Coturnix japonica: one gene and its partners. The protein of the gene in region 3 binds, or shares a complex with, the protein of the main gene of each other region. Links are inferred from orthologs where the notes say so. Each region holds a gene or a part of one and is shown on either strand. Other genes may lie near its edges.

Region 1 (5,991 bases), on a different chromosome or scaffold from region 3:
TCGTAGTGGGCCAACTTCTTCTGCAGCTCAAACACCAGCTCCTGGGCCTGCTGCAGGGTCTCCTTCAGTTGCTTGTTCTGAAGCAAGGCATCTGCCTTCTCCTTCTCCAGTTGAGTTTCTCTCTGCTTCGCCTCCTCCACCTGTTCCTGTTTTTGGGAACACAAGTGCTAGTTCCTATAGGCAGGGTCTGCCCAGCTCCTCACAGCTTCCCAAGTCCCAACACCCTCCCAGTGCTGGCCCAGCAAGCCACATCTCTCTGTGTACAAGAACTTTGCTCATGTAATGTCGTACAACTCCCAGGAAAACAGGAGTGCCAGGACTTCCACCAGGGAACTGGCCAGATCTGGGGCAAGTTACTGGACCAGCTCCCTGGTGACACTACACAACAGGGCTGCAGCAGCGGGGTCAGAGAGCAGGCAGGCATTACCTTCAGCAAGCTGACGAGCGCCAGGTTTTGGAAGGTGACATCTTCATGGTAGTTCTTGAAGTCATGGAAGGCTTTCTCATGGTTCTTCATCAGCTCACTGATCTGGTTGTTTTTCCTCTCCTCGACTTCATGGATCTCAGTCTTTCGGCGCAGGTCAAGCTGATCCCGCAGAGCTTGCATCTTCCTGTTGTACCTGGCCTCCATCTCTGGGGAAGTGCACAGGGGGCCGAATGAGACCCTCCCACAGAACCTAGGCTCTGTTAGCAAGCAGCAGCCCAACATGTGCCACTGCAGCACTGCTCAAAGACAAGATGCTTGTTAACAGCCCCACAGCAGCTGCCACCAGCACACGGAGCAGTTACGTTGGGACCATGGAGAGCAGAGCCCAGAAATAGCATCCTGGAAACAGGGCATGGAAACGCTCCAAGGCAGCCCGTGAGAACCTGATGCGTCCCCTGAGGAGAGCACTGGAGCCAGGACTTAAATCTGAAAGGACTCCTCCAGCCACCCAGCCAGGCAACTGTGCTCAGCAGTATGGGCTGGCAGCAGTGAGAGCCCTGCCTCCACCCAGCCTGTCCAGGCTCCATTTTCACAGCACATTCAAGCCAGGCTGAGTTCAGTTTGGACAGCACTGTTAGCCACACAGCCCAGCAGCCATGAGCAGAGAGCAAGAATCGAGGGGAGAAGTGGCCTCTTTCTTCTCCAGGAAGGCTAACAGCACAGAGGAGCTCCAAGGAGGCTTCCTCAGCACACAGACACAGGGGCTTCGAGCATGTCCTGACCTTTCACTTGTCTCTCGAAGTCATTGCATAGCTGTGTGATCTCCTCCTCTTGTTTCTGTTAGGGAAAAGTATCATGTTAGAGGCACACAACTCAATCCTGAGGTCACTGCATCACTATACAGCACAGGCTAGAGGCGGCCATTCTCCAGTCACTGATGTCCACACAGGCCATGTCCAGCCACAGGGCTGGAGTCCAGCAATCAGGTGCTGTCCCAGCAAGCAGAAAAAAAACATGGTCAGCCACATCCTGCAGGAGCCTTTCCTGCTCCCTGCGAAAGGCTGCCACCACAGCATGAACCTATTATACAAACCAACCTGTATTAGGTTTTCCAGCTGTCCTCGTGGCTTTGAGCCATGAGATTGACTCTCTTTCCTGCAGGAGAGCTTTCACAGCACTCGCCCCAGGAACCCATTGTCCCTGTTCCTGTGCTCTTTCCAGTGCCTCTCAAGTACATCTGACACTTATATCTGTGGGAAACCCCATTCCCACCTCACCAAGACACCAGAGGATGTAGCCTCCTGCTTGCATACCAGAGACCCACCACTTCCCTCTGCAGCGAAGGCACTTTGCATGCAGATCTGCCCAGCCAGACACTTACCAGGCGCAGGTTTTTCACCACCACCTCGTTGGCCAGCTCTTGCTCCTTCAGGTCCACTTTCAAGGAACGCATCTCTTTGCGCAGCTCTGTCTCCTGAGCCCAGTGATCCTTCTGGGCCCGTTTCATGGACAAGGTACCCTCTACTTTCAGCTCGGAGAGGTTTTCCTGGTGTTCATACAACAAGTGCTTCACCTTCTGCTTGTAAACCTGAAAACAAGCCAGAGACCAGGTGAGAGACATCAGCAGGAGCCAGCAGAAAAACATCTGAAGTTCGGGTATGAACTGAGACACTCCTGACTTGTATCCAGCCCAGCTACTCCCCCTCTGTCTCCTTCCCTTATCTCCCAGGGCACGAGGGAAAAAAAAGGGCCACACATCTCACCCTCCCACCTTGATCTCTACTTGATGCCGCTCCTCTGCCTCCTCCATCTCCCTGTCCTTGTTACGCAGCTCTGCTTTCTTCTCCTCCAGCTGCCGTCGGGTGACCTCCCAGAAGGTGTGGATCTTGTCACGCTCCAGCTGGAAGTAGTTGCGCTCTTCCCGTTCCCGGTCCAGCTCCTTCCTGAGACGTGTAGTGTGCTCCAGCAGCTGCAAAGCAAAGAGGAAAAGAGAAGTAGAGGGAGAAGGAGCACAGCTCCCTTGAAAAACAGGCCTCACAGATATCAGTGGTGAGCTCTGTTACAAGCCTGGAGGACGTGGTATGGAAGCCTTTATTTATTTTCTCTCTAAGAGAGAACAGAAGGAGCGAAGTGCTCAGGAATTGACAAATGACCCCCGAAAAAGAGCAACAAGATCTCGTCCTTTCATAAGCAGACAGGGCTCAGGCATTCCGTCTCACATTCTCAGATGCTAAATAACACTGAGACATGTGAGATCTTATCTGCAGACCAAGGTGCCCCAGAACAGTATTATCTCCTCCTGTGTTTATAGGACATCCAGGGCAGTAGGCCCGTGTTGGGCAGCTATGGCATCTACTTGTCCTCGCTGTCACTAGGGGAGCCTCCCACCCCCAAAGCAGCACAATTCGGGACGTGCTGAGAGTTCAGTGGGCTGCAAAGCACAGAGATGTAGACTGAGAGAACAGGGGGTTGAGCTTAAGCACAATAACCTGCAGAGAAGAGACTGCTCATATCAGAAAGGTAAAGGAAATCTAGTTAAAGGGGAGAACAGACCCCACTGCCACCTGTCAGCCTGGGGCCTCAGCCATGGCACAAGGGATAGCACAGCACTCACCTGCTCCTTGCTCATCTCTTCTAGGGGCACAGCTTCCGGCACTGCTGCGGCTTTGCCCTTTTTCCCCCCTTTTCCACCTTTCTTTTTGGGTGCCTGCAGAAAGAAAATGAAAGTTGTGAGTTGTAAGCACAGTGTGAGTGGGAGCTGTGCTGCACAGGGCTCACAGGATGCCAACACAGCACACCTGCTGCCATGGCGGGGTGGAACGGGTGCTATGTTCGGACCAGGACCAGAACCAGAACCAGAACCAGGACCAGGACCAGGACCAGGACCAGGACCCCGACCCCTCCCCAGGGCACCCCCCCCAGGCGGAAGGCCCAGACACAGCACAACCAGCTCTTCCCTCAGCACCGAGTTCCAGGTGCCCACCACCCCACCCAGGACAGCCCCGTTTCCCGGAGCCCCCACGCCCGGCTCCGGGCCCCCTGGGCCGCTAAGCTGAGTGTTGAAGGCCCCGCGGCCCGGCCCGGCCCAACCCCTCACCATGGCGGCCACGGCTGCTGCGTGATCTCCCAGGCAACGTTAGGACGGGTCCCCCCCCCCGGCTCCGGCCTCCGCCCCCTGCCCGCCCCCGGCCCCACCCCCGCGGCGGGCAGGAGCGAGCGGGCTGCGGGCTGGCACCGGGCCCACCCCGCCCCGCCCAGTACCGGGCACCGAGCACCGACACCGGCAACCGGCACCGGCCCGGCCCGGCCGGCCCATGGAGGCTCCGGGAGCGGGCCGGTACCGCAGGTGAGCGGGGATGGGGGGGGCTGGAGTGGGGTGAGGGCAGCCCGGCACCGCGGGATCGGGTCGGGCCGAGCGGGGCACGGGGGTGACGGGGAGGGGGAGGGTAGGTGTGCAACGGGAGGGGGGTGTGTGTGCAGGGGGTGTGTCCGAACGGGGAGCAGACCTGCACTACGAACATGAAGGTGGCTGTGAGCTGGGGACATGGAGTGCGGCACATCTCACCCCTGCCCTATATGAACCCCCACCCCCTGCCCTATATGAACCCCCACCCCTGCCCTATATGAACCCCCACCCCCTGCCCTATATGAACCCCCACCCCCTGCCCTATATGAACCCCCACCCCTTGCCCTACTATGAACCCCCACCCCCTGCCCAAAGATGAACTCCTCCACCCCTGCCCTATCATGAACCCCACCCCTGCGGTGCCTATATGACCCCCACCCCTGCCCTATCTGAACCCCCGCCCCGCTGAGCGGTTCAGCCGGGCTCGCAGGAGTCTGAGATGTGCCCCATGGAGCCGGAGCCGTGGCGCTGCCACCTGCCTGCAGGCAGCGGTGTGACACCTGCGGGCACCGGCCGTAACGCTACACCCGGGGGTTCCTGGAGCCGTGGTGTTGTTCGGGCGGCATCGTGTGTCTCCTGCACACTCCCATCCCTCCTCAGTGTGTGTCTCCTCTCCTCCCATCCCTCCTGACTGTGCCCTGTGCGCCGCTGTGCCGCTCGCTGACAGCCCCGGCCATGCCCTCCCACCTCACCAGGTCCTTGAGATGGGTTGGGGATCCTGGTGGGGTGACCGGAGCCCCCCATTGGGGTGAATGGAGCCCACTGCTGTCTCACTCTGCGGTTGACGTGAGTCAGCAGAGCACCGAGCCCTGATGCTGGCCTTGCTCCTTGCCAGGAGACAGCCGGTGAGCCTGAGCAACGCAGCACGGAGACGACATGCAGACGGGGGCCAGAGGGGATTGCTGCGGCAGGGACCAGCGCCCCGGTGGGTGGGGGCTCTGCTGGGGGGAGTGGGGATGGGATGATGGCGGGGGAAGGACGTGCTTTGGATGGTGGTTGCCCACCCTGGGGTTGAGGTTGAGGATGTGCATGGCTCTTCCTGGCCAAGGAGCAGGGTGGGAATCTGGTTTCCCAGATGGAGGAGGGGTGGTGGTAGTGATGGGTGTCCTGTCCTACCTTGCAGGGCTGGGACATGGTGTTGGGACAGTCGCTTGGGCATTGTGCTGCTTCCTTGTCAAATGCCATTGTTAATTTCCCTTTCCCTCTGCTGGCTCCTTTGGGCAGTGGGATTTCTGTCCCCTGCCCACCACAGTGCCAGCTGCCTGGGGGAAGGAGGCAATGCCCTGCCCCCAGTGAGCCTGTCCCCATACCATCTCACCCAGCAGCTAACTAGGACAGGGCCCAGCGGTGGGTAGCTGGGTCCAGCTGTGACACCAAGCAGACCAGGGGCCATAGTGCCCTATGCTGCTGCACACACACTGGGCCTCTTGGCCCTGCCCAGTGCCAGCTCAGCCCTGGCTGTCCCTGACGAGGGGCTTTTCCAGGCACTGCCTCTGCCCAGCCCCGCCAGCTCTTCTCAGGAGACAAAACGCCCCTTGTCTGGGCTCTGGGCTCTGAACAGGCTGTGCTTTTGTCTCACCGACACAAAAGGGCTGTGAGGGGCGGGGGGCTGCCGGCTGCGGGGAATGGGACTGATGGGGCCCATGGCAGCTGCTCCAGGCAGCATCGCCCGTCCTGCAGGGGGCACAGGGTTGGGGAGCTGCTGTTCCCTCCATCAAATAGCCCTGGGCACCCAGGGCGGTAGCATCAAGGCCACAGGAGGGAGCTGCCTTTGCTGCCCCAGCCCTGCACCTACACAGCGGGTGCCGGTTCTGCAGAGCTGGGCAAAGAGGCACTGGCTCCAGAACGAACAGCAGGGACCCCCATCCCTGGGACAGCGGAGGAGACCACTGGTGCCCCCACGGAGGAACAGGGTGGCATCCCCATCCCCACTGCCAGCCTGCTGCAGGTCACCGAGCGGAGACGTGAGTGCAGCCCCTGCACAGCCCCTGCCTTCCCCTGTGTCCCCTGTTGCCCCCACAGTCCCTGCCCGGCCCCTGCCCACCCCAAGCCAGTCATTGTCACCCACCCCTCCCAATCCCTTGTCCCTCCCTGGGTCCATGCCCAGCGCCCTCAGATCCCACCAGGGGCTCTGGCAGCTGCCCACCCTCCGTCCCGC
Region 2 (6,197 bases), on a different chromosome or scaffold from region 3:
CCTCACACTCACACACACGAGACAAGGAAATATTTCTCATTTTCTATAGAAAACTTGGGGGCACGGTCTACAAAGACTGCAAACATTTATTGTTTGGACCTACATGCCATTCAGATTCTACATTGGAGGCAATGATAAAGGCTGGCAGTTATTTGCCTTTTCAAAGGCAGCCTGCTCAACAGATGCCTTTAACAAGTACGGGTCAAATCTCCAGCTTAGGAGCTAGTTTAGAGTCACTCCTACATCAGTGTGCTGTGTACTGTGGTACACTACTGAAGAATCAAAGCTCTCAATATAGGTGGAGGGGATGAAAAAGAGGAAAGTACAAAAATGGAACAGATTATTCTGTATTTTATTTCCAATAAAAATTTAGATCCTGGATGGATACAGCATCTGAAAAACACAACAACAGAATCACGTTAGAATTCCTGTTATTGGACTGTACAAGTCAGCAAATTTATAGCTATCATCTGAATCATGGATCTCTTCAACTATTTTAAGTGACTCCCATTTATGCAGAAAAGGGGCAGGAAAGTCTAACAAGGAGCTGAGTGACGTGAAGCAGCATCTGATGGTATCAAAGCTCCCACCCAGCAGTCACTCTCCTGCTCAGCCTTCCCATGCCTACTTTGAGGACTCTGCCATGCAGCTCATGCAGTTATATGGGGAGTAAGAGAAGTTGATGCCGCAGCTCCCTTGCCACTAGGTAGGAAATGAGGCAGAGTACAAAAAGCAATGGTGCAAGATGAGATTACGAGGCAGCCCAAAGGCTGACAAGGAGCCCCTGGTTCCTAATGCTGCTCACCACTCGGATCCTGTGTCCGATGGCCTTGGCGGGGAGGTTGGAGCGGAACTTGGCACGAACCATCCCGCTGTTCCCATGGGCGCGGGTCACCTTCCCCCAGATCACCCGCGTCCTGTTGGGTTTCCCACCGGGGGTGACGGTGTTGCTGAGGGAACAAAAAGACACAGAACTCAGTGTGTTTCCTTTGGAATGAACCTGGAGTATCTTAACGTAGGATTTCTCCAGTCACACCACAGGCACAAAGGGCCTCAGGCATCGAGACAGGCAGCAGCTACAAGAAGCCACGTGCCACCCTTGAAATGACAGCAGTGATGAACAGCCTGACAAATTTATTACAGGGAATTCCACATCTGACATCAGAACAACCACTCTCAAAGAAAAATCAAGCAGAAGACAATAAACAATTGTTCTTAAAGCCTCTACCACTGCAGGCACAGCAGAGCTGTGACACACACACACAAGGGCTGCTCTATCAACTTCTTTTTGCCTGGCAAAATATTCCACCTCTAAGGATCTCAAAAACTCAATGATCACCACAAACTCATCTCGCTTCAATTTGCTGCCAACCAACTGACTGCTCACATCCCGGCATTTGCAAAAGATAATAAAAGACGACCAACTTACTTCTTAGCTTTGTAGACATAGGCACATCTCTTGCCTAAGTAGAACTCTGTCTCCTGGCGAGCGTAAACACCTTCAATTTTCAGCAGGGCAGTGTGCTCCCGCTGGTTCCGGAGGCCACGTTTGTAGCCAGCAAAAGTGGCCTTGCACCACAACCTAAAGACATGGAGAAAGAACAGATTAACTCAGTTTAACACATTAAACTTTGGTTGGAAGGGACCTCAAAGCCCACCGTGTACCATGGGCTGGATGCCTCCACCAGCTCAAGCTGCCCAGGGCCCATCCAACTTGGCCTTGGGCACCTGCAGGGAGGGGGCACCCACAGCTTTGGGTAGCACTGCTGGTTCCTCAATGCTTAATGAGTATAAAAACATCTTCACATCTCACAGAAATCTATTAGGCCATGTAAGAAGTTGGTCCCCCCTTCTGTTTCTATGTTCCCTTCAAGGCTGAACTGCTACAGCCAGCTGAAGACAGGGGTTTCAAGAGAGCAACACAAACGTAGCGATGTAACACACACACACAGAGATCGCCCTGTGTGTGCACCGGGCAGCGCCGTGCTGGGACAGCAGAGACTCAGCGGTGCCGTCAGCACAGCGCAGCTCCCCATCCAGCCGTACAGACACAGGCAGACACTCACCTCCCGGTCATGGCGTCCTCGTGCAGCGCAGTCCCGGCAGCTCAGCCTACAAACAACACACCCCGCTCAGTGCCCACAGCCCGACAAGGCCTCAGCACCGCGGGCTGCAGCGGGCCGGCTCCGGCTCCTCACAGCGCAAGGCCCCGCCGGCACCTCAGCTCCCTTCAGCCCCAGAGCCGACACCATCCGCCGTGTATCGGCGCCATCCCGCCCGCTCCACACCCGACACCCCGCCATCCGCCCCGCCCCGGTGTCCCCGCCGCCGCCGGGATGGTCATTGCCCGACACAACGCCCGACACAACGCCCGACACAACACCCCGCCCGCCGCACCCCGCTCACCAGCACGGCGCGCAGCCAAGATGGCGGCCAAAGGACGAGGCGGCGCGCGGCCCGCCGGGATTGCGGCTCTAAGGGCCCCGGCTGCGGGCTGCCCGTGTCACAGCCTGAGCGCACACGGTACGGGCCGACACAGCGCTGGGTGTGCACCGATATCGGTGCCTTTTGTCGTCCCTCGCCATGTCCGTGAGTCCCGTTACTCCTCCGGGCGGCGATGAGGGAACAGGCCTCGGCACCCGCAGGGACAGCCCCGCCAGGACCCCGGGCGCCATGGAGACGGCGTCGCGTTGAGCGCCGCGGAACGGTACTGAGCGGTGAGGGAGAGGGGTGGGCTTTGGTTTAGTGTTACTAACACCATCCCACCTCTATTCCTCTTTATTCCTCTTTACAAGAGCACAGGCACTAAAGAAATGGAGAAGCTCCCTCGGCTGGAAGCTCTGCTGCTCACTGCTGTGCTGGAGAATTGCATCGATCAGCTCGCCATCCTCGGGTACATCATGCCGGTTTCACAGGAGGGCAAGGCAGATGTCAGCAGTGTATGTGCCTCTGTGTTTGCTCTCATTTTTCTCAATGCCTTTTATGTCTTCTGTCAGCATTCTATAAGTCTCCACACAGGTACTTGTCTCTTTGGCATGGCTGTGTGAAGGACCCTGGTGACATAAGATGAGCTTCTGAGGCTTCATTCTACAACCTCAGTGGTCAGATGATAAGTAAAGGATCAGGGGAAAATAAACAACAGATGGCTGACGTCTCCTAAGTGCACAGCTTTATAAATAATAAAGAACAGGGACTTTGATAATACCCCAAATCAGGGTCATTCTGATACTCTATAAGCACACACTGAAGCTCCTCTAGTCCCCACAGACAACAAAATAAGACAGATTTCCCTTCAAAAATCTATTAGTAACTACTCATTATTAATGCCCGTTATTAATGAGTTGATTTCTAATAGACACCGTAACTAAGTGGTTCTGGGGAGAGGCATAAAGTAGAGCAGAAGCTGCTCGACATAACTGTAGTGCTCGATCAATGCTCCGGCTGCGCTATAGAGGGCACTGCTCTCCTTAGAGAGCACCCTGAGCCCGTCTCACCTGTTGGCCGAGGATGCTTTTCTCCCACAGATGGGGCTGTGAAAGCTCCGCTGTGCCAGCTGATCTGATACAGCAGATCCCGAGAATGGTGGGCGCAGTTCTCCTTCTCCCTCACACACACTGAGGCTGACAGACCTCCTAGAGGTACACTTGGTTTTTCTCTTCAAACACAGAGGCTCGTTTTTACTAAGTAGTTTATTTCTTAAGACACAACTTTCCCATGGAGTACAATCCTCAAATCAAGGAGGAAGCAGTTTAGAAACCAGAAAATGGCTCTGGAGAAGCCAACTTTTAGAGCCTCAGTCACTGTGTTGCTTGTTCCTAAATCAGGGACTCTTGTAGACTGCTTCATGCAGTGCATTCCCCAGAGAAGGCAGCCCTTCTGTCTGCTAAATTTAGGGCAAAAGACCAGCAAAGATAAACAGCAGGGACTGCATGGATGGCACCACACGCCATTTACAGTCTCCTTGCTCTCCTGTAGTTCTTTGGCAATTATTAGTGCTTAATTCTCTACTGTTTACAGATAATCCAGTTATAGCCTGTTTTCAGCTTTCCCAGACATTATAAACAGCTATTACAGCACCCATAAAAGCTACATGATATTAAAAACTATTTGTTTGCCTAGAATAGTTATTTCAGAAATACAGCCTTCACCATCCAACTACTTACACCCCTTTTTCTTCCCCCTAATTAACCACGTAATTTTCATAGGTCTCAGGATACTTTGCATGAGATTCATTTCATGTAAATTTAACTGTCCAAAAATTAAGCATGGAGTCACTTAGTCTCCTTCTGCACTCAGTGGTGACTCATGCGGTCCAGGGGCTACTTCCTCCCCTCCTAAGCTGCATTCAGGAGCATCAGCCTTTTGCAGCGCCCTGCACGCTGTCCCCATTGACCACAGCAGGACCTCGAACACGAATAGAGCCTTTCTCCATCAGGGTCTTCTTAGAATTATTACCAGCATATGCTGTTCCTGCTCTGACCTCTTGTTTTCACTCTGCCCTTTGTGCTGTGTTGGCACAAACATTTGTGTGGTTGTGCAGTGATCTGGACTGCTAAAAATATATCTTTTTTCTTTCTTTCTTTCTTTTTTTTTTTTTGCTGGAAAATGTTTCAGTGAGTTGTTTTTTCCATTTCACGAGCAGTCAGGGTGGGCAATAGGCAGCTACGGACTAGGATGAGGATGGAAGCCTCTGCATTAGTTGGCTCTGGTGGTGCTGCTGTGAAGTACGTAGTGACAGGCTAAGATCAGCTTCTGTTCTTATGACTACACTGTAAGTAAAGGCCTTGGTGACAGGCATAGGGCAAAGGCTGAGGAGAAACAGATTAACAAGCTTCCTGTATATAAAAGCTGCTGCAAAGGAAGGAAGGAAGGATTTTTTTCTGTGCCTACAGAGACTGGGATGAGAAGTCAGGGGCTCAGCTGCTGAAGTTTCAGAAGCTTCCTTACAAGAATGGCACGCTGGTACTGACTGCAGGGCAATACAGCCTCCATGGCTGGGGGTCCTTAAGAACCAAACATCTGAATCATCACCTCTTGGGGCAGGTGAACCGACCTTCTGAGGCCTTTTCTAGTCCTGTCACTTTTGGCCTTTTGATCCCATCAACTTCAGTAAGCCTAAATTGTGTGCTCACATCTCACCCAGATGAACATTTCTGGTATTTGGTTCTTTGTAGACTCATCAACTGGCCATCGTATAGGTGGATTCTTGTTTATTGTTAATTCTTCTTCCTCCCACATAAAGCTGCATAGAGTCTATTCCTATTGCTCAATGTGCAAGCAGGTTTCTCTTACTCTCTTTTAGATCAACAGCCAGGAAATGAAAGAAATCACAGACACACAGAATGTGCAGGACATTAAGTATCAAGAGCTTCCCCCTGCAAAGCAAGGGAGTGGGGAAACTGTTACCTCGAAGTCTCTGAAAAGCACTGAACAGAAGCAGCAGCTGGGGAACTCTGCGGATCCAAAACGAGCCCAACATCCTTCCAAAAGGGCCACGAAACCCAATGCTCCATCTGCAGAATATCTCAGAAAAATTCAGGCTGACAGGTAAGTGAAGCACAAGTGTGATGCCTGTGCAGGATGCTCAGAGCTGTAAAGTTCTCACTTTACCTCTGCAAAGCAAAATACAGGCTTCTCATCCTCCCACTGCTAGTGTTCCCCAGTTGTGGCTATATCTAAGAATGGCTATATCTAAGGGGAGCACCATGGCCTTGCCATGAGATCTCATGATCTCAGTTATTCTGTAGGGTACACAGAAGCCCTATGGCAGTAGGGCAATAATTGATAAAGGTGCCAGACTCCGTGTTATCAGTGTACACCTATACATTACTGTTGTGTTCCTTTTCTCCCTGGTAGGCAGTATGTGAGTGATGTAATTACAGCCACTATGAAGAAGATGGAGGAATCGGGAACATTTGATAGCCTAATAGAAGCTAATGGGAGAGAGAAAGCAAAGAAAAGCAACTTGAATGACATCCTCATCAGGTCAGAGTTGTGCTTTGTACTTTTCTGATTAGTGACCTAGAGCCAAAGCTCATTTTCCCTCATTATACAATGTAAAAGGAAAACAAAAACAAACTCTACATCAAGATATGGAAGGGATCCCTTTTCAGCTTGAATTATCCTGACTACTTCACAAATTGCATTTGCCCTTGGAGAGGAAAATAACTGACTGTAATAATACTAATCTGACTTGG
Region 3 (5,403 bases):
CCCTCCAAGGGCAGCAGCTGGGCAGCATGAGGATATTCCTCCTACTGCATCATCACGCACCGACTCATCGCTCACGAGCTCCAGGATCCTCTTGGCAGTTCTCTTGGATATATTTTGCAGAGGATTGATTGTATCCCCAGCCTTTGCTATGTTTTCTTTCCGGCCTTCTCCGCTGCCCACTTCTTCCTTCTCTTTCTTTTCCTGTGCCCCACTGGTGCTCTCTGCAAGACAGAAAAAGGGTGAGAAAAAAAGTCTTTATGCTTTGTCTGTGCTCCCCAGGTCAGTACTAGTAACATCACTGCAGCTTTCATCAGGGAAATCACGGTCATCCTGGTGACCTGGAAATTATGCCAAAAAGACCAGGATGTGAGCTGGCTCTGGGTCAGCTCATCTGGTGCTGGGAGCAATGAGCACAGCTCAGTGCTAAGATCCCCAAGGTGGCTTGGAATGAGCCAGCTCAGAGCAGGCACATACCAAACCTGACTGAACTCACACAGTCAGTCAGATCCTTTTGCAATGACAAAGACAGGAGAGACTGTGGGGGCTCTCATGGAGGAAGGTGAGGGTTACCCAGTGCCACAGAGGTGACAAGGGCACTGAGGCTGTGTCTCACCTGTCAGGACCTCTGCGGCCAATTTGCTTGCCGTCTTCTTTGCCTTGTACTGCCCGCAGGGGCCGACGTTGTTGAGGAACCAGTAATGAGGCTCTTCCCAGGGCAGTCCCAGTTGCTGGGTGTGAATGATTCGATCTGCATCGAGAGCTTTCCGCATTAACCCTTTGGCTTCCTCCTCATTCATAAGCCAGACCTTCACGAACTTGTCAGCATCACAGGCTGCAAAGTGCCTGTGTAGAGAAAGAAAGCCCATAGAAGCAGCTTTTGTGTCCATAAATGAGTCAGCCCCCCTCTGTATGTCATTCAAATGCTCTGAAGCCTCATCACAGATGGATGGCCAGGCCTCCAAACACAGCCCACCTCATCTTTCTCTGCACATCCTTGCATCGTCCGTTGATGCGCTCGCACTCAGCTACAAGACTCTGGTTCTCCTCTCTGAACTGCTTCTCTTGTTTGACCAGTTTTTTTCTCAGATTACTGAGTAAGCTGTTGAGCCTGGAGAGGGATAGCAAAGCTGGGGATTCCCAAAGAGGCACTTTAGGGCAAATCTCACATGTATGAAGGCTTTGGGAGTTGGAGCTACCCATCTGCTAGTGACCAGCACCAAGACCTGACTGAATCCCACCTAGTTGGCACAGTTTGGTCACTGCCAGATTATTCAAACTGTTCTGGGGATGGTGCTGCCCTGGACTAAACTCTCCCCCTGCCCAGGGATGGGGCAGGTCAGAGCTCAATCCTGTGCTAGTGATGGTTTCCACAAAAACAAATGGTATGTTAGGAGATGGCAGCAGGTAAAGCAGAGCCTGTTCGTTTTCCAGGGATGGTTTTTTACCGGTTGAGCTTCCTCTTTTGTTGTGCCCTGATGATGGTGTTCTCCTCATCTTGCTTCCTAAGCACCTGAAGGTTGTATTCCAGCTTCTCCTGGTTGATCAAATAGACAGCTTTCATATGCTGGATCTGCCTCTCCAGGTTCTGTCAATTCAGAAAACATGGAAAGAAGCTGTGCTGTAAGCAAAGGACACAGAGAAGCCTGACTATAACTCAGTAATGTAAGTAACTCCAAACCTGTAACTCCAAACCCAGCTTCCCAGGCACATTTCTCCCACCCTAAATGGCTCAGAAACATTTGTGAACGTTACACAATCTATATCAGCCCGAGTTATCAATATGAAGTCACAGAATCTGAACTGTCCCCTTGGAATTGCTCTATCAAGTGGACAGGGACCTTGCGACAGCAATGTTTCACCTGCTGTTTGTGTTGCAAAACCTTGCAGACACGGCTCCTAGCTTGTATTTCCCCAGGCCTCCTAGGAAAACATCATGTGGGACTGCCCTAGTTTTGGCTGAGACAGAGTGAATTTTCTCTGTAGTGTCTGGCATGGTGCCATGTTATGGATTTAGGAGGAAAAGAATTCTGATAACACATTGATGTTGTTGTTGTTGCAGAGCAGTGCTTACACAGAGCCAAGGACTTTTCTGCTTCTTGTTGCTGCCCACATGGACAGTGAGGAGAATAGGGGTTCACAAGGTGTTGGAAGGGAAAAGAACCAGGACAGTTGACCCAAAATCACTGAAGGGATATCCCATACCAAATGGCATCATGCTCAGCAACAAAAGTGGAGGGGATAAGGGAGTAGTGAGCAACTGCATTGTGCACCACTTGCTTTGTATGTTCTTTATTATTATTATCTCCCCTTCTTTTTCTGTTCTATTAAACTGTCTTTATGCCAATCACAAGTTTCACCTTTTCCTGATTCCTTCTCCCACCCCACTGAAGGGAAGTGAGTGAACAGCTGTGTGGTGCTGAGCTGCCTGCTGGGTGAAACCACAATAAGCAATGAGCCTTACTAAGTCAAATGCAAATCTGTTTGTACCATGCAGCATGGGAAACAACAAATAACAACAAGCAGGGAAGGTGTCAGCTGTGGTTGTGTCCTCTGCTTAGCCAAGGAAGCAGAAGTGGAGGCATTCAAGGCCAGGCTGGACGTGGCTCTGAGCAGTTTGGTTTGGTGGTTGGCAACCATGCACATAGCAGGGGGGCTGAAAATGGATGATCATTGTGGTCCTTTTCAGTCCAGGCCATTCTATGATTCTATGACTTCATGGCTACTAGAGAAATCATGAGCCCAGGGCTAGATGTCAGAGGCAAAAACTCAAACCTCCTAGGCCACGGACTTTTGCAAGGGAGGCAGTTAGTCTGATCTGAAATGATCTGGTGTCAAAACACTCACACTATTTGATCCTCCTACCAAACTTGACTTCTGAAGAAGCAAAACCCTCAACACTCCCAGCTGCTTCATAGATCCTAGAGCTGCTACAGACCGCTTAGAAGCCAAAGGCACATTGATACTGTGCTGTGGATCCCACTGAGAGGAGAGACTAAAAGCTCCATCATGCTGTTGGCATGGAGCTGGATTGTGCATGCTGAAGAGCTGAGGTGATCAGATACCAGACACACCATCCAGCTGCCCTCCAGAGCAATGAACAAACCAGGGTGGTCTGCTCAACTGTCACACCACATGGCACACACCAGCCCTTTCTGTACCTGCACATCATTCTCCAGATGAATCTTCATGCTGTTATACTCCTCCTCATCCCGCAGTCGCAGCTGATTCAGCTCTTTCTCAAACTCTTCTATCTTGCTCACACGGGAATGTAGGTATTCCAGCTAAGGGCAAAAGAAGAATATCATCCATCAGAGGTGACAGCTTCCTCCCATGATCACAGCTCCCTCTGCCAGCACTAAGCAAGGTCATGCATGGATTATTCCCTGGCAAAACAGGCTGAAATACCTGCCCCTCTGCCCACCATGCACCTAAACAAGCAGCCACCATCAGAGTTTATAAATCTCATGGGGACTTTACCTCTTTTGTGTTGAGGTCCTGGATGGCCTCCTCCCACTTCTTCCTGTTGTTGTCCAGCAGCTCTCGCCGTTCGTGCTCAAAAGTTTTCTGCCAAGGAGACAGAGCCATTTACCATCACAGTGGCACCTCAATTTGCCAGCCTCGTTCTAGTCCACACCAGGAGAGGACTGACAGCTGCTCCTGTCTAATGAACATACACACAGGCCTGATGTCTCCTCTCAATGGCAGAGATCTGACATTGTGAGCCCACTGGGACAGCTGTAAGTCACCCTAACCCATGAGAGCTGCTTTTGGTGGCAGCTCTGTGAATTCAATGGAAATCATTGTCTGATATTGAACCCTCGCTCAACAACACTGATTTGTGACTTTCCATGCTCTGCAGAAGGTAAGAATTATGACCAACAAGGCTCCTTCTTGGCTTTTAGCAAGACAATTAACCAGCCATGAAAGAGCAATAGCTTTCAAATGTTACCATGTTTCTCTGTGCTGAACCAAAGTCATCCACAGCATCGTATAAAGCAGCCCCTCAGCACCCAGCATCATTCAGTGCTCTTGATTGGCCAGATTTGAGCTTCATTCATCAAGACATCAGCTCTCTGCTCTGGACAGTAATCAACCCAGCTGGTGGAAAGAGGCTGAGGCCTTTTGGCAACAGATATGGAGAAGGGAACAGCTGCAGTCTTTCTCCCTGAACTCTACTTCTACCGAATGAACTGGCTACCTCAATCTGATGGATATTGTGACGGTAAGTTCGTAACATCATCCTGGTCTGCTCCTCCATTCTCTCCAAAAGCAGGTGGATGTCATCTGACTGCTTCTTAATGGTTTGCACGTATTGCTCATCTTTGTTTTTCAGCTCCTGGAGGAGGACAGCAGATGCTGAAATCAGAGAGAATGTTTTACTAGGGGATAACAGAGAATGTAGGACCCAGATCCTGCCTTTTCCAAAGGTGACAAGGACAAAAGGCCAGCAAGTCATGAGGTATTTAGGAGGAAAGGTGGGAGGAGAGACATCACCACCAAAGGTCGGTCATAGCTGGTAAGAAGATAGAGTGGAAGGTGAAACATCTGCAATAGGCCACTCCTGCTGCTGAGGGCCAAGGAACCTGCTCTGGAGAAGACTTGCTTCCCTTTAGGAAAACAATCCCCTTCTTGTCCTGGACCAACTGACACTGCATGCATCCCAGCCATGTGCTGGGGCCTCGGTGGGCCAGGGGGATGGCTGTTGCTTTAGAACAGCACCCTCCAAAGCTTGAAAACTCCAGTCCTCCCTGGTTACCTCCGCATGGCTCCCACACTACCTGCTGCAGTTCACCAATGAGCTTGTTCTTCTCATCCAGAAGCTGCGTGCACAGCTGCTGCTGTTGGTTCAGCAGCTGCCACAGATCCTGAGGGATTGTCATATCTTTGGCCAAGGCCCACTTCGAGGTGATCTCCTCAAACTTTTCAGCACTGTACTTGGCTACATTCTCCAGCTTCTCCACCCTGTGGGCAGTAGAAGAAGGTAAACCATCGCAGGGCAACAAGTGGTTCAGTGGCCTACACCACATACAAAGCCACAGGAACATTCTCCTGAATAACTTAGCTTGAAAAGTGGCATCAAGATGAGGCAGCAGGTGGGAGGTGACACAACTCCCAGCTACACAGCCCAACCCTGGAGAATCAAAGGGAGTGCTTTCCCTTTGTCACATGCAGCTGGACTGAGTTTCTCCCACACACATTCCACCACTGCCTCTCTGAAACCTTCCTTATGGGCTGTTTATGGGCTTAAAATATCCAGATCCTTATAGATAGGCTTAATAGAAAATATTCTGAGCAAGGAACTGATGCCTTGCTCCAGCCAGCCTCCCACAAACTGTTCCTACAGTGCCCTCCAAAGGCAATTAAGAGAAAGGACTCGGTGTTCCTCAACTGATCTGTGCAGGC

The links. The genes of interacting proteins can lie anywhere in the genome.
Region 1: DRC1 (region 3) and GAS8 share a complex: the UniProt entries of both Homo sapiens proteins name them as parts of the nexin-dynein regulatory complex. The link is inferred for Coturnix japonica from reciprocal best matches to the Homo sapiens genes DRC1 and DRC4.
Region 2: DRC1 (region 3) and IQCG share a complex: the UniProt entries of both Homo sapiens proteins name them as parts of the nexin-dynein regulatory complex. The link is inferred for Coturnix japonica from reciprocal best matches to the Homo sapiens genes DRC1 and DRC9.

The regions. Positions count from the first base shown.
Region 1 is NC_029526.1:16,806,039-16,812,029, reverse strand, and holds the start of GAS8 (dynein regulatory complex subunit 4), read right to left. Parts: upstream 3,604-5,991; 5' UTR 3,528-3,603; coding exon 3,525-3,527; intron 3,135-3,524; coding exon 3,042-3,134; intron 2,397-3,041; coding exon 2,199-2,396; intron 2,016-2,198; coding exon 1,809-2,015; intron 1,265-1,808; coding exon 1,210-1,264; intron 634-1,209; coding exon 428-633; intron 147-427; coding exon 1-146. Other genes in the region: DBNDD1 (dysbindin domain-containing protein 1), read left to right, coding at 4,710-4,758, 5,651-5,797. UniProt on the Homo sapiens protein: Component of the nexin-dynein regulatory complex (N-DRC), a key regulator of ciliary/flagellar motility which maintains the alignment and integrity of the distal axoneme and regulates microtubule sliding in motile axonemes.
Region 2 is NC_029524.1:13,174,163-13,180,359, reverse strand, and holds the start of IQCG (dynein regulatory complex protein 9), read left to right. Parts: upstream 1-2,594; 5' UTR 2,595-2,617; coding exon 2,618-2,707; intron 2,708-2,795; coding exon 2,796-2,939; intron 2,940-5,302; coding exon 5,303-5,547; intron 5,548-5,856; coding exon 5,857-5,985; intron 5,986-6,197. Other genes in the region: RPL35A (60S ribosomal protein L35a), read right to left, coding at 370-393, 806-950, 1,430-1,582, 2,067-2,077. UniProt on the Homo sapiens protein: Component of the nexin-dynein regulatory complex (N-DRC), a key regulator of ciliary/flagellar motility which maintains the alignment and integrity of the distal axoneme and regulates microtubule sliding in motile axonemes.
Region 3 is NC_029518.1:96,157,116-96,162,518, reverse strand, and holds part of DRC1 (dynein regulatory complex protein 1), read right to left. Parts: intron 4,963-5,403; coding exon 4,779-4,962; intron 4,337-4,778; coding exon 4,199-4,336; intron 3,565-4,198; coding exon 3,478-3,564; intron 3,282-3,477; coding exon 3,159-3,281; intron 1,586-3,158; coding exon 1,446-1,585; intron 1,109-1,445; coding exon 974-1,108; intron 844-973; coding exon 614-843; intron 222-613; coding exon 61-221; intron 1-60. UniProt on the Homo sapiens protein: Component of the nexin-dynein regulatory complex (N-DRC) a key regulator of ciliary/flagellar motility which maintains the alignment and integrity of the distal axoneme and regulates microtubule sliding in motile axonemes.